Caenorhabditis elegans: one gene and its partners. The protein of the gene in region 2 purifies or fractionates together with the protein of the main gene of each other region. This does not show direct contact. Each region holds a gene or a part of one and is shown on either strand. Other genes may lie near its edges. The genes, in order: ech-5, glf-1 and B0280.9.

Region 1 (5,089 bases), 5.1 Mb from region 2:
TGAAAATCTAAATTTTATCGATTTCTTACGAAAAAATGCTGAAAAACACCCGTTTTTATCGATTTTTCCATTACAATCGGTAAAAAACCTGATATTTCAAAAGTTTGCGCGTCAAGTCTGTCGCCGGGTACGCAGACACACCATCACGTCAGATTGCACATTTTGAGAAAGAATTCTTCAAAAATGGGGAATTTTCGATTAAAAATCGCTATCATGTCTATAAAAATTGGAAGTTTTCACGATTCTAACGTAAAATTACTGGAAAATCTAAATCTCAACGATTTTTCGATAAAAAAAAATTCAAAAATAACACCGAAACACTGGATCGGACTTAGTATGAGCTGAAGAATATTTTAAAATAGAACTTTTATTGACGCAATGAAATTTTAACGATATACAGCACTAAATAGAAAAAAATCTTTTGCAATAAGACCGGCTTTATGTGAAATTGAATAAATTTGAAATGGAAAATCGATCAATCTGCCCAAGTATCAGTGGATGTAGACGGCTGCTGGCACGGCTCAGGAAGTTGGAAAATTTCTCGCATTTCCTCGGCGCTTTTCCCATTGATACGACTGGCGACTGTTTGGGTTCCATAATTCACGAGTCCGGTAATATCCAAATCATAGGCAGCTTTAATAACAGCTAGCAAGTTTCCCATCGGCAGTACACTGAAAAAATGTTGATCCCAGGACGGAATGACGACTTTCTTTTTGCCTTTTTCGGCTTTTGCAATCTCTGGATCGTCTCCCTTGTGTTGATCACACCATTTAATCAGTAGATCCAATGTGTATTCATGTTCATCAACAGGTATCGGCTTAATCTCCGCACAGTCTTCTTTATCATATCCTAGCTCTTTGATAGTTGTAGAAATAGTGCTGGAGAGCTGGAGAGCACGGATATCTGCCTGCAGCACCTCTCCATTGGAAGAAGCCAGTTGAAGTAGGCGAGGTGGTGCGCTTGGAGGAGCCGGCTTTGGAGCACTAAAAAAAGCGCGATTTCTGATTTTTTGAGAAAAAATTGCTGAAAAATAAAAAATTTTTAATGATTTTTCAATGAAAATTGGGAAAAATGCTATCAAAATACCTGGCTGGTGCACGTTTTTTATTGTTTTTCTTGTTCTTCGGCATCTGCTTTCTGGCCCAAATTTGATGTCTGAAATACACAAAATATAGGTTTTTTTAAAGTTTTTGTGTGAAAATTCGAAAATTTTCGATTGAAAATCGATATTTCAGCAATCAAAATTGGTAAATTTCCCGAAAATTGCTTAAGAAATCCTGTTTTTATCGCTTTTTCGCTAAAAACGTTTTTAAAATCGAAAAAAAAAATATTTCGAAAGTTTGTGCGTCAAGTTTGGCGCCGGGTACGCAGACACACCATCACGTCAGATTGCACACTTTCCAGATTTTTTTTGAAAAAAAAGTAATTTTCGAATAAAAATCGATGTTTAAGCTATTTTTTTTAACAAAATAATAAATCTAGATGCAATTTATTCAACAAAAAACCCTATTTAAACATAACAATCACCAGAAAACAAGAAATTATCGATTATCAATCAAAACATGGGTAGTTTTCGGTCGCCGCTTGTTCTCCACATACAAGAACCGCCACTGCCAATCTCCGTCTCGTTGCTCCATTTCAGCTTGAGCAATTCCCTCATCTCGGTCTCCTTTCACGTGGAAAAGCACCCGAATCCGCTGCATTCCGTCCTTCTCGTACTTGTGATGTGCCACGTGGCGGCGGCGTCCACGTGACGTTTCCTCGCCGAATCCGGCGATTGAGGCGCCGAATATTTCCTGACAACGGCCATCATCACGTACCAATGCGAGAGCTCTGCAAAAAATATTTGATTTAAATTGGTTTTTCCCGGAAAAAAGTGAAAAACCAACTTATTGAAAATTGTCTGCGGGGAATCTTGAGCGAAAAATTCCCCGGCGAGCACATAGATAAATGCACCAATTAGACCGATTCCAGCGACAACTGCCGTGTACATAAACGTGTTCGACGCCTTTTCAGCGACTTTTCCGCCAAATGTCGTCGGTTTCGCCTTCTCATGCACCAAAACTTCCTCCAAAATCGATCTCTGGAGCGCATGTTCCTGTTTTGAGGGTGATTTCTGTGATTTTTCAAGTGCTGTGATCGTTCGGGAGAAGCTGCGAAATTGGGATGGTGTTAGGAAGTAGCTGGAAGATTTTTCATTATTTTTCTCTAAAAATTGCCGAAAAGTTACCTTTTCAGCACATTTTGCGTGACTGCACCTGCACAAAGTTTGCTGAGCGGTGTCATTACCTGAAAAGTCAAAAAATTTGAAAAAATTTAAAGGAAAAATTAAGAAAAACGGAAAAAAACTGATTTTGAGAAAAAAATAATTTTAAAAATAGGAAATATTCCAAAGAGACACCACAGAATGCCAGGGAAACTGAAAATTGGAGAATGCAAGTCTATAGTTTTTCCTGCAGCTTAGAAGTGAAAATAAAAGTATTTCCAAGTCGCCTATTTTTATATTAAATTTTATTTTGATAAATTGATTTAAATCCACATTTTAAACAAAATTTTACTGAAATCATCTTGGAAAATCTCGCAGATTTCTTTCTAATAAAATTTTTTGCATCGTAATGCAAACGCGCTCTATCTACACATACTCCTCTCGGACAAACATTTATTTAATGAATTTTTGCGCGTTTTTAACCATTTTTCCACTATTTCTTGTCGAATTTTCACAATTTTTTTAATGATTTTTTTGCAGAATGTTGTCTCAAAAGATTCTTCTCAACCTCCGTGCCTTCGCCTTTCACCCACTGGCCTACAGCACCACCACAAACCCGGCTAACGAGGTTTTCATCGAAAGATTGACTGGAAAAGATGAAGGTGCGCAGCCTTTTTGATAATTTTTATTAAAAATTTTGCTTCCAGGAATCACAATTCTCAACATGAACCGTCCGGCGAAGAAAAACTCCTTGGGACGAGTTTTTATGGACCAGGTAGGCAGTTTTCGCAGAGTTTTGCCGCAAAAAATTACATTTCCAGTTCCGTGAGGTGCTCGACGAGCTCAAGTACGATCCAAAGACACGTGTGGTGATTCTCAACTCGAAATGCGATAATGTGTTCTGTAGTGGTGCGGATTTGAAAGAACGCAAGACTATGAGCCAGCAGGAGGCCACCAGATTTGTCAATGGGCTCCGTGACTCGTTTACTGATGTAAATAACTTGAATTAATCGATTTTCAGTCAAAAAATCGAGAAATTTGCGGTTTTTTCCCCTGAAAACGTCGAAATTTTCAGGTAGAACGCCTTCCACAGCCAGTTATCGCCGCAATCGACGGATTTGCACTGGGAGGTGGATTGGAGTTGGCACTGGCTTGTGATATTCGTGTTGCTTGTTAGTGAAAATAATTTTCCCTGGGGAAACACTAAAAAAAAAAATTTTTGAAAACGTCAAATTTAGTTCAAAATTCGAGAAAATACGTAATTTCCTGACTTTTCCACTTGTAAAATGCCAAATTTTGTCTAAAAATTCAATTTTAATTCAAAAATTACAAGTTTTAACGTGAAACTTCTATTTTCGGCAAAAATGCTCTTAAAAGCTTCTTAAAAGATCCTTTTCAGCAGAAAATGCTCAACAACTCAGCAAAAATCTCAAAATTTCCACCAATTTGGGTCAAAGAACCTCATTTTTGCTCTAATTTTCCCATTTTTTCTGCTGGAAAATCCAATTTTCAACCAAAAAATGCCGAAAAACTTAATTTTCATGTAGAAAAAGCGTAAAACTTTTCAGCTCGAAACTTTTTTTTTCAGTTTTGCATTAATTTCCCCATTTTTTCAGCGCAAAAGACAAAAAAAAAAGAATTTTATTCCGAAAATTCCCAATTTTTAGCCTAAAAATCTGAAAAATTTGAACCATTTTGACTCCATTTTCAGCAAAAAAAAAGCATAAGAATCTAAAACTTTCAATTATTTTTAAGTAAAAAACTCTTTTTTCTCTCATTTCTCAATTTTTGCGCAAAAATGCCTAAAAACCTGCATTTTTTGCGCAAAATGCTCTAATTTTCATGTAAAAAACGTAAAAATTAGGATTTTTCAGCTCAAAACTTATTTTTCTTCGATTTTGCATTAATTTTCCCATTTTTTCAGCACAAAAAGCCAAAATAAGTCTATATTGAGTGAAAAACTCATTTTTGCCCTAATTTTCATGTTAAAAAACGTAAAAATTCGAATTTTTTAGTTTTAGCTTTTCATAGAAATTTACCTTTTTTCCCAAAAACTACGAAAATTTCGGTTTTTCATCACAAAAATCGTGAAAATTGCCATTTTTTGACTTAAAAATCCAATTTTTAAGTAAAAAATACTTGAAAATCTCCATTTTGAGTCAAAAAACCAAAGTTTTGCTCCAATTTTCCCATTTTTTCCAGCTCAAAAAGCCAAAATGGGTCTATTTTGAGTAAAAAACTCATTTTCGTTTCATAGAAAATTGCATTTTTTCAACACAAAAAATACGAAAATTTTAATTTTTCAGCTCAAAAATCGTGAAATTTTCCATTTTTTGACTTAGAAATCCTTTTTTTCAGGCAAAAATTTCAAAAAATCTTCATGTTGAGTAAAAAAACCTAAGTTTTGCTCTAAATTTATCCATTTTTTCAGCTCAAAAAGCCAAAATGGGCCTAGTCGAAACAAAATGGGCTCTAATTCCCGGCGCCGGAGGTTCTCAACGTCTCTACCGTATTGTCGGAGTCGCAAAAGCCAAAGAGCTCATCTACACAGCTGAAGTGCTCAACGGAGCCGATGCTGCCAAGCTTGGAGTCGTTAATCACGTCGTTGAAGCCAATCCAATCGAAAAATCACTGGAAATCGCACGAAAAATCATTCCAAGAGGCCCGATTGCTGTGAAATTGGCCAAATTGGCAATTAATTTGGGCTCTCAGACTGATATTACCAGTGCTTTGAGTGTTGAGCAACAATGTTATGCACAAATTGTACATTCAAAAGATCGATTAGAGGGAATGGCGGCTTTTGCTGAGAAGAGAGATCCTATTTATAAGGGCGAATAAATTTTGGGAGAAAAGGGAGAAATTCGGCGGGACATTGAGTGAAAA
Region 2 (5,089 bases):
CTTCCTCGGTGATCTATAAAACTAATTCATTTTAATTTGCTGTTCCACATTTTTTAGATCAGAATGAAAATTTGTTCGAATTTAATGAACTGTATTGATAAAAATTACAATACTAACCGGATCATCGATTGGCCGAGCACACTCGCACATGACAGACCAATACTTATCACCATCTGGAGTCACTTCTCCGTATCTGCTGAGAATTGTGACACGGAAGAATGGAACTTCACGATCTGGGAAGTAGAGCCATGTGAATTTCTCGAGGAATGAGGTCATTGGCTTGCGGAGTCCAACTCCCACAATGAACACCTGGAAATTGTTTTCACTGTTTCATCGAACTAATAAATAACATGTTGTTCTTTCGGAACATCGTGTTGAATGCTTGAGATGAAAATAAATAAATGTTCTTTTGTCTCAAAATGTTATTTTTGCATTTTCACATTGCTGTTAAATACATTTTAAAGGACCAATCCAAGTTTGATCAACCCAACTGCTAATTCTGATTTTCTTTACAAAACTCTAAAAAATCCAAACCTTATTATGAACAATATCCAATGGAGCAGTGATTTGTGTGTTGTTCACAAGTTGATCAATTGGAGCAGTGTTAAGAAGAACATCATATGACATCTTGGTTGGCTCGGTTTGTCCCTTTTCAAGAATCTCAACGGTCTTCTCCTTGTGATCGACTCCGGTGACCTGGAAATGGATTTTTTATAGTTTAAATGCACGGTCCAGCAAATAAACTAAAACTCAAAGAAAATTCACTTCACGCAAAAAACAGTATACGCTTACCTTATTGTTGAACTTGAACCACTCATTTGGCAACTTCTTTGCCATCGAATTCCAAACATTTCCAGTTCCTCCATAAGTTGGGAAAGTGAAATAGGAATTTGGTCCCCATCCAAAATCAGCATTAGCCAACTCTGCTTGATCCATTGAGCAAAGCTCCTCGAGCTTCTCCTGTGGAAGCTTAGCAACACGAGATCCAACCCAATTTGGAGACATTTTTAATGGCTCAACAGTCCATACTTTCTTAGTGTATGGTTTGAAGAAAGTGTTAAGAATTGTTGGTCCAAAGTGTTGGAGAACCCATTCTTCAAAGTTGTCTGGGGTAGTTCCGTCTTGTGGCTGTAAAATAAGTTTGAATGTTTTTTTTTAGCCAGCATGACTGGGTGGTTAAGTCTAGTCCGAAACTGTATTAAAACTGCAGATTTTAGGTAACTTTCTAATGCTATTTTCTGAAATTCCGTGAAAGTTGGATTGAAGACGGTAAGTGGGAGAATTATCAGTTTTCCGGCTACTAATTCACAAACTACATAATATTTGTGATCATTCGCAAAAATCGGTTTTCATACAACATATTCAAATTTTATTCTCCCAAATAAATCTCAAGAGAATTTTTCAAAAAAGTAGAGAAAAACTTTCAATAACCGTATAAAAATCAAGTTCGAAAATGCTTTGAAATTTCATTTGCCGTTCAGCTAATTGGTGTTCTAGAATGTTATTTTTGCGCGGGAATTTGAATTTCAATCAGTTCCGCTTATTTTGAGCTGAATTATCTCTTTACATATTTGTTCTTTTTTTTTAATGTTTGTTTAGAGATTCCTACTGGGAGTTTCAGTAATTTCCCCACACCAACTACACCCTCTTTAAAAAATACTGTTTCCGAGTATTGATAAATTACAATCATGTACTTCCAATTATTATTTAAAGTTTGAATTTCAACAAAATGAAATCTTTTAATTCAGATAAAACTAATATCCGTTATCCACAAAGAAGATATTGATCTAATGAAGTTTTAGCTTCCCTTTCTCTTTTCACTTACATTCTCATATCTCTCCTTCAAATCAGCAAGACAACGGTTCTTAACTTCATCCGGGAACAATGGAACAGCGAATTGAGCTGGATATGGTACCAAATGGATTCCTTTCTTGTCATACAAATAATTCATATCAACCATACAGTTTCTTGCCAACTTATTCCAGTCATCAACAGCCCATTGAGTAGCCTTCTCGTAGTATGGGTAGTTGTGATTGAAAGTGATATGACCTCCCATATCCCAGAGGAAACCTTTCTCATCGGTTACAGTGCAGGAGAGTCCTCCAGCAATGGCCTCCTGAAACATTATTTTTAGAATCAATACAAAAATTGAGCTATTTTTTTTTATTTATTTTAACATCCTCGAAATTTTGGCTGATTGTGAGGTAGAAATATTTACTGTTTCCAAATATACATTTTTCAGATTCCTTTTTTTATTTCATTAACGGCACAATTTCCGTAAAACATTATTTTGATATCCTTGAGAACAGTTAAAATTATCTTTCAAAGGCAAGAAAAAAAAATGAAAACGAGATTTTAGTCTGTTAGTCAAATACTAAACGAGAAACAGTTAAAATTTTTGATTTTCAGTAATCGTCTCCATTATTATACCGGTAGCAGTTCGCGTCACGTCACATTTTCCCCATATCTCGCCCGATAGATCTCAAAGTTTGTTACCAAAAATTGTACAAAAGGCTTCTGGAAGGGAGCTAAGAGTAAGAAGGAGGAGACAAAACATCATTTCACGCTTTGACCGGGGAAAATGAAAATAAAAACAGTGCGCAAAAAGTGGAAAACAATAATGATTGAAGAACGAATTATTAAATTATGTAATATGTAAAACGTGAAACCGCAAATTTTAGTCTTCAAAAATGCACACAAACCTGTTCAAGAAGAACAATTTCAGCGTTTTGAGCAGCCTCGTTTCCCTCGTTTTTGAGCTCATTGAGCCGGTAGGCAGCTCCGAGAGCCGTTGGTGCAGCACCAATGCAAACGATCTTCATTCTGAAGAACAATTAAATGATTTTGTAACATATTGTAACTGTAAATCAAATGAGAGAAGAAAGCGAATAAAGAAGCCAAGAGAACACGGAGAATCTCGTTTCTAAACAATGAGCGAGGAAAAGAGAAAATGCATGGAGAAGGAAAAGGATTGGATTTTGACCCAGATCCTTGAGAAGAATGAGAGATCGTAAATTGTTGATAAGTGAGAGGAAGATATTCACCCCCTTCAATGCCTATCGGTGTATTAATTGCTTCTAGTGAAAATTAATAAAGGCGGAATCAATAGATATTCAAGAGTGCCAGAGAACCTGTCCTTTTGTACTTTTCCCCACCTTCTCAGACTCTCAAAGATCCACCACTGACTCCGCCCAATTCGTGTTGTTGATCTGATTATCTGTTAGAAAGGGCAAAAATTGTTAGACAGCCGATATTGCAGATCAAAATTTGAGATTGCGGAGCTGCTTCCCTTTTTAAATGATATTTATCTCTTGCTTAGAAGTTTTTATCCGATTCTGGATACGGAATTTGGAACGGGATTTTGAAGTCGATGATCTGCAAATGAGATAAACGCGGGAGGTTGGGGCGCTCGACAATTTTTTCTATCCAAATAATACACTGAGAATCTTTTGACGTCATGCAAAGAATTTTGAGAGTCTAAAGAATCCAAAAGTCCGATCAACAATCGTTGGATATTTCCGGTTATTATAGGAAATTAGACTGAAATATCTGCTTCGAATTATAGTTGAATGTCTGAAAAGTTATGCAATGAATCCTTCAAATTGGTCTCGCAGTGGTAACAATTTTTAAAATAGTAATTAATTTTTATGTGTATATCGCTTAAAAACTTACGGTTTCACGATACCACAGAAGGTGTTGGGTATAACTTTTTACGATCAGTCTATGAGTGTATGTAGTCTAGTCATTGATGCTTTAATGATAAATAACTTAAAGTTGATATATTTGTTTCAAAATTTAAAATGGGCTTAAAAGTAGAAATGAAAAAAAAAACCGATTTTTTCACTGAATGACATGCGATTTTTTTCCATAAGATATCCTTAAAAAATAATTGTGACATCACACCTTGAAAATATTTGGTTGGCACTTGTAACAGAGAACTTACCAAAAATAATACATGCTCTCTAACTCCTAACTGTTACAATTCTAATTTTCTTAAAACTATTATTTACGTGGACTTTCCTGAATTTTTAAAACAATCTGAACGTAGATTTTTTAAGACAAAACTTCCACGTTTCCTGTCATTCTAATTATTTCTTATCACTCAACTTTGAGATTAAACTTCGAAAAATGAGACGTAAGTAAAATGAAAATTGTGCTTCCGAATAGGGCTGTGCGGCTGATGACTCGGCTGATGAAGACAATCAAGTTTTTCAACGTGTTAGCACTGATCAATTAAAGAATATTTGTATTTGCAGTATTGGCTGAGTCATGAGCTTCTTATTCTAGAAAAACGTTTTTTTTTAAGTGCACACACCTTGACAAAACAGTCGGCTTTTTGAATCAGCCGAGTAACTCGGCTGTCGGCTGTAGGCTGATTGGAAAAACGAGTTTTTCTGGAAGGGGTGTGCACTTTTTAAAAAACTTTTTTCTAGAATTAGAAGCTCAAGACTCAGCCGATATGGCAAATACAAGTATTCCCTAATTGATCATTGCTAATACGTTGAAAAACGTTGATTTGCTCCATCAGCCGAGTCATCAGCCGCACAGCCCTACTTCCGAAAACCCCAGATTTTCAGATTTATTAAACACAAGGACATATTTTTCAATTACAATTTTATTTTTAATTACAATCACAGTTTTGCAATCTGAATCGGCTTTTTCAACGATGGCTAAGAAATCCACGGAAACTGCCACGTTTCCGTCAATTGAACCGTTTAGCGATTTCGATACTTGTCAGGTATATTGTGGGGATGTGTTCTGATGATATGAAGAAGGATGATAATCTGAAATAAAAAATATTAAAACTAAATGGGCATTATGAATATGTAAAATGAAAAAAAAACAATTTTCACCAAATTTTTAAAAACATTTTTGAAAAATTCAACTTGTTTTACTTTTTCTTTGCATTTTCTTTTCATACCTCATTTTTGTATATTTGTTTTGTACATTGATAATGCAAACTATCAAAAGCTAGAATGTATTAAAAAAAAGTTTTGGGAAACCTGCAAAGAAGAAAATCATATAAAACACTCACTAGTCATGGTGGTAGCACACTAATAGAAATTTTTAGACTGTTCCATCGGGTCAT
Region 3 (5,089 bases), on a different chromosome or scaffold from region 2:
CAAAACACAATAAAATCGGGTGACAAGTAGGTCGGTAAGAGACCATTGGTTATTGTGCTCCAGTGAAAAATCTGCCGAAAAACGGACTTTGGAGAAACAAATTAAACTTTTCTTGTTCCTCTTATACTAATTCTACCAGACTTCACGTGAAAAACTGACATTCATTGTTAATTTTTCGTCATTTTCGATCGTTCGTTGTGTTGTTCAACCCTTTTCTAACTGGCGACTATTGAGACAATTCTATGTCACTATAGTGTACAAAGAACGATCAAGTCATTTTTCGGTACAGACTAGGACTACGTTCAACTGTTTTTGAATTTTTTGTGCAAACGTCGGTTTGTATTTTTAAATCTTCCAGTGGTTCAAAAGCTGCTCTGGAAGTTGGAATAAAAACGATAAATTTTCATAACAACAAAAAAACGGATGAAGAATAAAAACAAAACAATTTGGACGAAATCAACGACAAAGAAAAGAATAACAATGTTAGAACCAATTAATAGTCTGTAAAATGATGAATTTCAAAAACATGAAGACGTCCATCATCGTTTCCAACGGCCATATATCCTCCATTTGGAGAAAACTCCACACATCTTGCATGTGTCACTTTTCCGTTTCTTTCCGGGAAGTTTTTGAATGTTGTCTGACTTGCCACGTGGACGAGACGAAGATGATTGTCCTTGACATTTGAACAAATTGCCATCAATTGAGCATCAGAATTGAAAGCGATTGATGAGACCGCGGTGACGAGATTAGAAACATTGAAAAGTGGACGAGGATTTGTAGAATTGCGGCAATCATTTCCAGAATAGACATTCACGATTCCGGTATCACTTCTGGAAATTTCAAATTTTCATCATATAATCAGGATGTATGTAAAGACTAGGTCATTTATTTTCACCGGAATTCAACAAAAAAAGATTTTTTTTTTTAAATTTTTGTTGCTAAACTGAAAATATCAACAAAAAAAAAGATGTAGCAAACTGTACAATTATATTAATATATGAATTATATGAATGAATGACAGTATCGTGATTTTACGAATTATAAAAGTTTGATTTTAAAAAAGCTTACCCAGTCGCAAAGTAATCTCCATGTTGGCTGATGGCGAGTGTTGTTCCGTGCACAGCTCCATCGTCGGTGAATGTATGTTGCGATGATTTGGTTCCCGGCAATCCAATGTTTGCGATCACAATTTGGCCGGTCTCTAGAAATTTCGAATAATTTTTGAATTTTTGGCAATATAAAACCAACCGCAGATGATCCAAATTTCACGGCTGTGCGATGGGAAAAACTTGATTTCTGACGCATTTGCTGGGAGTGATATTGTTGTGATATGCTCCATCGACTGAAACATTTTACATTTAAACTTTTAATTTGCCAATAATTTAATTTTTTGACATACAGTAGCATGGAGAACATAGATGTGAGAATTGTGTCCTGCAATTGCCAAAAATTGAGAGTCATGCGAAATGGCAAAGAGCCGAATTCCTTGCTTTGGTACTGCTGTAAAATGTTCAAAGTTTTGCTTCAAATTTTATTAAATATTAAACGTACTGTTTGGAGGTTTCAACTGTGTCACTTCTCTTGTTTCCATATTGTACTGCATCAAATATTCCTTTCGGCTTGAAGAACAGATCACAGAGTGTCCTTTATCAGCAATTTCCAGACTATCAATCGGGAATTTTGAGAAATTCGCACTTTGAAGGAAACGATCCTTTTTAACCTCACGACTTACCTGAAATAAGTAAGGAATGGTTTAATTAAAACAGAAAACACAACTTACTTTAAAAAGTTGAACATTTCCACCTTGATCGGCAACAATGAGCACTGGTCGGGTTTTATGAAATTTAACAACAGTGATTCCACGAGTGTATCGGTGTCCGATGTTGAAATCTTTTATAAGAGTTGTATGAATAGTTGTTTTTGGTAAATTCACGTCTTTCGCCAAATATCCGGCAGCAGTTTTCAACAATGACCCTTCTTCTTCGTCTCCTAAAATTGTAAAATACGATTTTTGAACTATTGATTTTCCAAAAACCTGCAGCAGCCTTAGCCCATTTTGGTGTGCCTCCGTGGCGTTTTCTGAACGCCTCTTGCAATCTACCAACGTATTCCTAAAATATTAAAATTATTTTTCAGAAGTAATTTATCCTTCTGCCTATTTTCAATTATATAATCTTTATTACACGTTGAATAACGTATTTCTAAAAAAAATTTACCTTTGAATCCAATTCTCCATGTTCTTCGTCTGTGGTTCGCTTGAGTTCAACTCGCATTGTCATTTTCACTTTTTTTGGAACCGCCACAACCATATTATCGTCGTCCTCATCGTGCCACGCAGGCTTTTCAGACTCAATCACTGGCCGTTTGCTCATTTCTCTGAAAATTGTTCAAAATAACCTTAATGAAAGATTCAATAAGCTGAAAATTAAAGAAAATTCGGAAAAGAAAAAAGAAAAATGAGAAGCAATTGTCGTCAAATAGTGTGTGTTATCGTAGTTTTAGTGCAAACACCGTCACGTCTCAATGCAGAATTTCATTAATTTCAGTATTTCAGCTGAAAATTTCAGTCTTTCTTATCAATTTACTATTGTTTTCGTTTTCTTTTCAGCATTTTTGTATGTTTTCTACAAAATTTCCATTATCAGGAGTATTGCGAACCGCCAGAATGGTCACCTCCACCGGCCCTGAAGCAGAACTGGCTCCTATTGAGCAGGCGAAGAAACGAGTAAGTCAAAAATTAAGACCAATTCCAACCCTCATTAATCATTTCAGGCTGCGTTTGCCTGCGGTGAAAAATATGTGCAAAGTGGTTGCCGTCTTGGTGTTGGATCCGGAAGCACTGTCAAGTATTTGGTAGAATATCTTAAACAAGGATTTCAGAATGGAAGTCTCAAGGATATCATCTGTGTTCCAACCAGTTTTTTGGTAAACAGATTTTCAACAAACCCAATTGTTATAAATAAGTATTTCAGACAAAACAATGGCTGATTGAGTCTGGTCTCCCTGTCTCCGATTTGGATTCACATCCAGAACTGGATGTGTGTATTGATGGAGCTGATGAAGTTGACGGACAGTTCACGTGCATCAAAGGCGGAGGTGGATGTCTGGCTCAAGAAAAAATTGTTCAAACCGCTGCAAAAAACTTTTACGTGATCGCTGATTATTTAAAAGATTCCAAACACTTGGGTGATCGCTATCCGAATGTCCCAATTGAGGTAAATTATTTAACTTTTTATAATTATCAGTAAAGAAAGATGCACTAAAGAATAAACTTTAGAACAATAGTTTTTTCTAAATAGATGTAGTTATGTTGACTGTTTTTAATGAGATTTATTGCAGGTTCTACCTCTTGCTGCTCAACCACTTCTACGTTCGATTCCACGCGCTGAAGGTGGAAGCTGTCAACTTCGACAAGCTGTCAAAAAGTGCGGACCAATTGTGACAGACAATGGAAACTTCATTATTGATTGGCAGTTCGAGAAAAACGTATCCGGAAGAGATTGGTTCGCGATTCAGCAACGATTGGCCAATACACCAGGAATTGTTGAAACCGGATTATTCATCGGTTGCGTCGACGCAGTATTCTTCGCGTACTCTGACGGATCTGTCAAGGAAATTGTCAATTCCAAGAAGCACTGACTACTTGCATCGAATTTTGTTCATATTGAAAATTAGTTGTTTCTTATCACCACCACACTCTCCAAACTTCACTTTTCCTCTTCCCAGTTGTTGTGAAAATTGTACCCATTCATTCCCAATGTTCCTAGTATACGTGTAGTTCTTAGAATAGCCCCAATAAAAATTGTGTTGAAAAAACGTCTTTCTTAAAAAACTGAAAAAAAAATTAGAAAACTCTGAAAACGTTTTGAAATGTAAAGTGTCTGGATGTAAAGTGTCTGAAACTGTTTAATTTCAAATTACAGTAGTCTTGAAGTGTATGAATGGCGAGGATAGCTTAAAGATTGAAAGAAATGAGAATTTGCTTCCTAAATGACTCATTGGAGGCGGTAAAATTAAGAGCGAGCAATAATTTCAAAAATACTGATAAAGTTGGGAAATAAGTAAATATTTCAAAATTTTTAACAATTGCTGTATTAAAAAGCACTTTCGTCAAATCGTATCATTCGTATTCTATTCATTCCAGATTGTTCAAATTTTAATTTCCAAATGATTACATCTGAATTGAGTGATTTCCTCGAGATCAACGAAAAAAATAGTGTTCTAAGAGGAATATCGGCAAGCGATAAGGTATGATTTTGTGCACTAAGAGATAGGCACGGTCTCTGCTTAAAGACAAATGTAGTTTCAATTCAACTAGCTTGTGCTCATTTCAGATACTTTCATCAGGTATTTGTCAACTTCTTTTTTCTGAAAATGGGCATTGGCGGATACCGAATGGGGGAACCGCTGTGGCATTGTTTTTGAAAGTAAGTACGATAAATTTTAAAAAGATGAACTGTGGTAGAAAGCTGCAAAGATGTTATCATATGAAAACTACTAGAAGAACAAACAATTAATCTAGATTAATTATTTCAAAATGAGAAATGTATACTTTTTTCGAAGTGAGTCGCAGTAGGATTGTTTGCAAAATCCAATTTAGTTTTGCAAAGAAATACTCAAACTCAACAGACGATTAATTCAATTTTTCAGAACAGTACGGAACGATATTACCGGATAATAGTAATGGAACCATCTGCAGATCCAGATTGGGAACCAACAGTTCAATTTGATTTTCTTATTAGGTAATCTTGAATATAATTTAATTTCAACTAACACTATGATTATAGAGACAAAAAGTTTGAAACAATGCAGGAACATGCAAGGTTACTCGTTTTTGAGGCAGAATCCAGATACATTGGATTGAACTTTTACGACTCAAAGGAATGTGAGAACTTTCACAATAGTGTTTGCAAACGACAAAGTGAGTAATTCGATTATTAAACTAGTTGGAAAAATATCGCTTTTTCCATATTTTTATTATGTACAATACTATTTCTTAAATCAATTTTTGAGTTCAATAATAATAGGGTAATGTTTATATTTCCGTCTATCTTTGCTTTTATTACAGAAATAGGTAGAATACGGT

Evidence for each region.
Region 1: the proteins of glf-1 (region 2) and ech-5 fractionate together in Caenorhabditis elegans (co-fractionation; one large-scale study listed by BioGRID). This does not show direct contact.
Region 3: the proteins of glf-1 (region 2) and B0280.9 fractionate together in Caenorhabditis elegans (co-fractionation; one large-scale study listed by BioGRID). This does not show direct contact.

What each region holds. Positions count from the first base shown.
Region 1 is NC_003282.8:794,277-799,365, forward strand, and holds the start of ech-5 (Enoyl-CoA hydratase, mitochondrial), read left to right. Parts: upstream 1-2,746; 5' UTR 2,747-2,747; coding exon 2,748-2,868; intron 2,869-2,913; coding exon 2,914-2,981; intron 2,982-3,027; coding exon 3,028-3,198; intron 3,199-3,281; coding exon 3,282-3,378; intron 3,379-4,637; coding exon 4,638-5,044; 3' UTR 5,045-5,089. Other genes in the region: skr-18 (Skp1-related protein), read right to left, coding at 476-983, 1,087-1,130; F56B3.11 (Mitochondrial import inner membrane translocase subunit Tim21), read right to left, coding at 1,542-1,833, 1,890-2,183, 2,231-2,286.
Region 2 is NC_003282.8:5,883,569-5,888,657, reverse strand, and holds the start of glf-1 (Amine oxidase domain-containing protein), read right to left. Parts: upstream 2,824-5,089; 5' UTR 2,823-2,823; coding exon 2,703-2,822; intron 2,625-2,702; exon of another isoform or gene 2,604-2,624; intron 2,343-2,603; exon of another isoform or gene 2,321-2,342; intron 2,117-2,320; coding exon 1,826-2,116; intron 1,129-1,825; coding exon 793-1,128; intron 697-792; coding exon 535-696; intron 499-534; exon of another isoform or gene 478-498; intron 392-477; exon of another isoform or gene 371-391; intron 310-370; coding exon 118-309; intron 107-117; exon of another isoform or gene 86-106; intron 14-85; coding exon 1-13. Other genes in the region: H04M03.11 (uncharacterized protein), read left to right, coding at 4,129-4,135, 4,578-4,738, 5,072-5,089.
Region 3 is NC_003281.10:7,120,517-7,125,605, forward strand, and holds B0280.9 (U3 small nucleolar RNA-associated protein 18 homolog), read right to left. Parts: upstream 2,380-5,089; 5' UTR 2,376-2,379; coding exon 2,220-2,375; intron 2,115-2,219; coding exon 2,039-2,114; intron 1,993-2,038; coding exon 1,784-1,992; intron 1,736-1,783; coding exon 1,555-1,735; intron 1,504-1,554; coding exon 1,403-1,503; intron 1,346-1,402; coding exon 1,252-1,345; intron 1,205-1,251; coding exon 1,072-1,204; intron 834-1,071; coding exon 494-833; 3' UTR 389-493; downstream 1-388. Other genes in the region: rpia-1 (Probable-ribose 5-phosphate isomerase), read left to right, coding at 2,669-2,728, 2,776-2,928, 2,976-3,218, 3,343-3,642; B0280.2 (uncharacterized protein), read left to right, coding at 4,171-4,251, 4,338-4,430, 4,654-4,745, 4,791-4,924. UniProt on the Caenorhabditis elegans protein: Involved in nucleolar processing of pre-18S ribosomal RNA.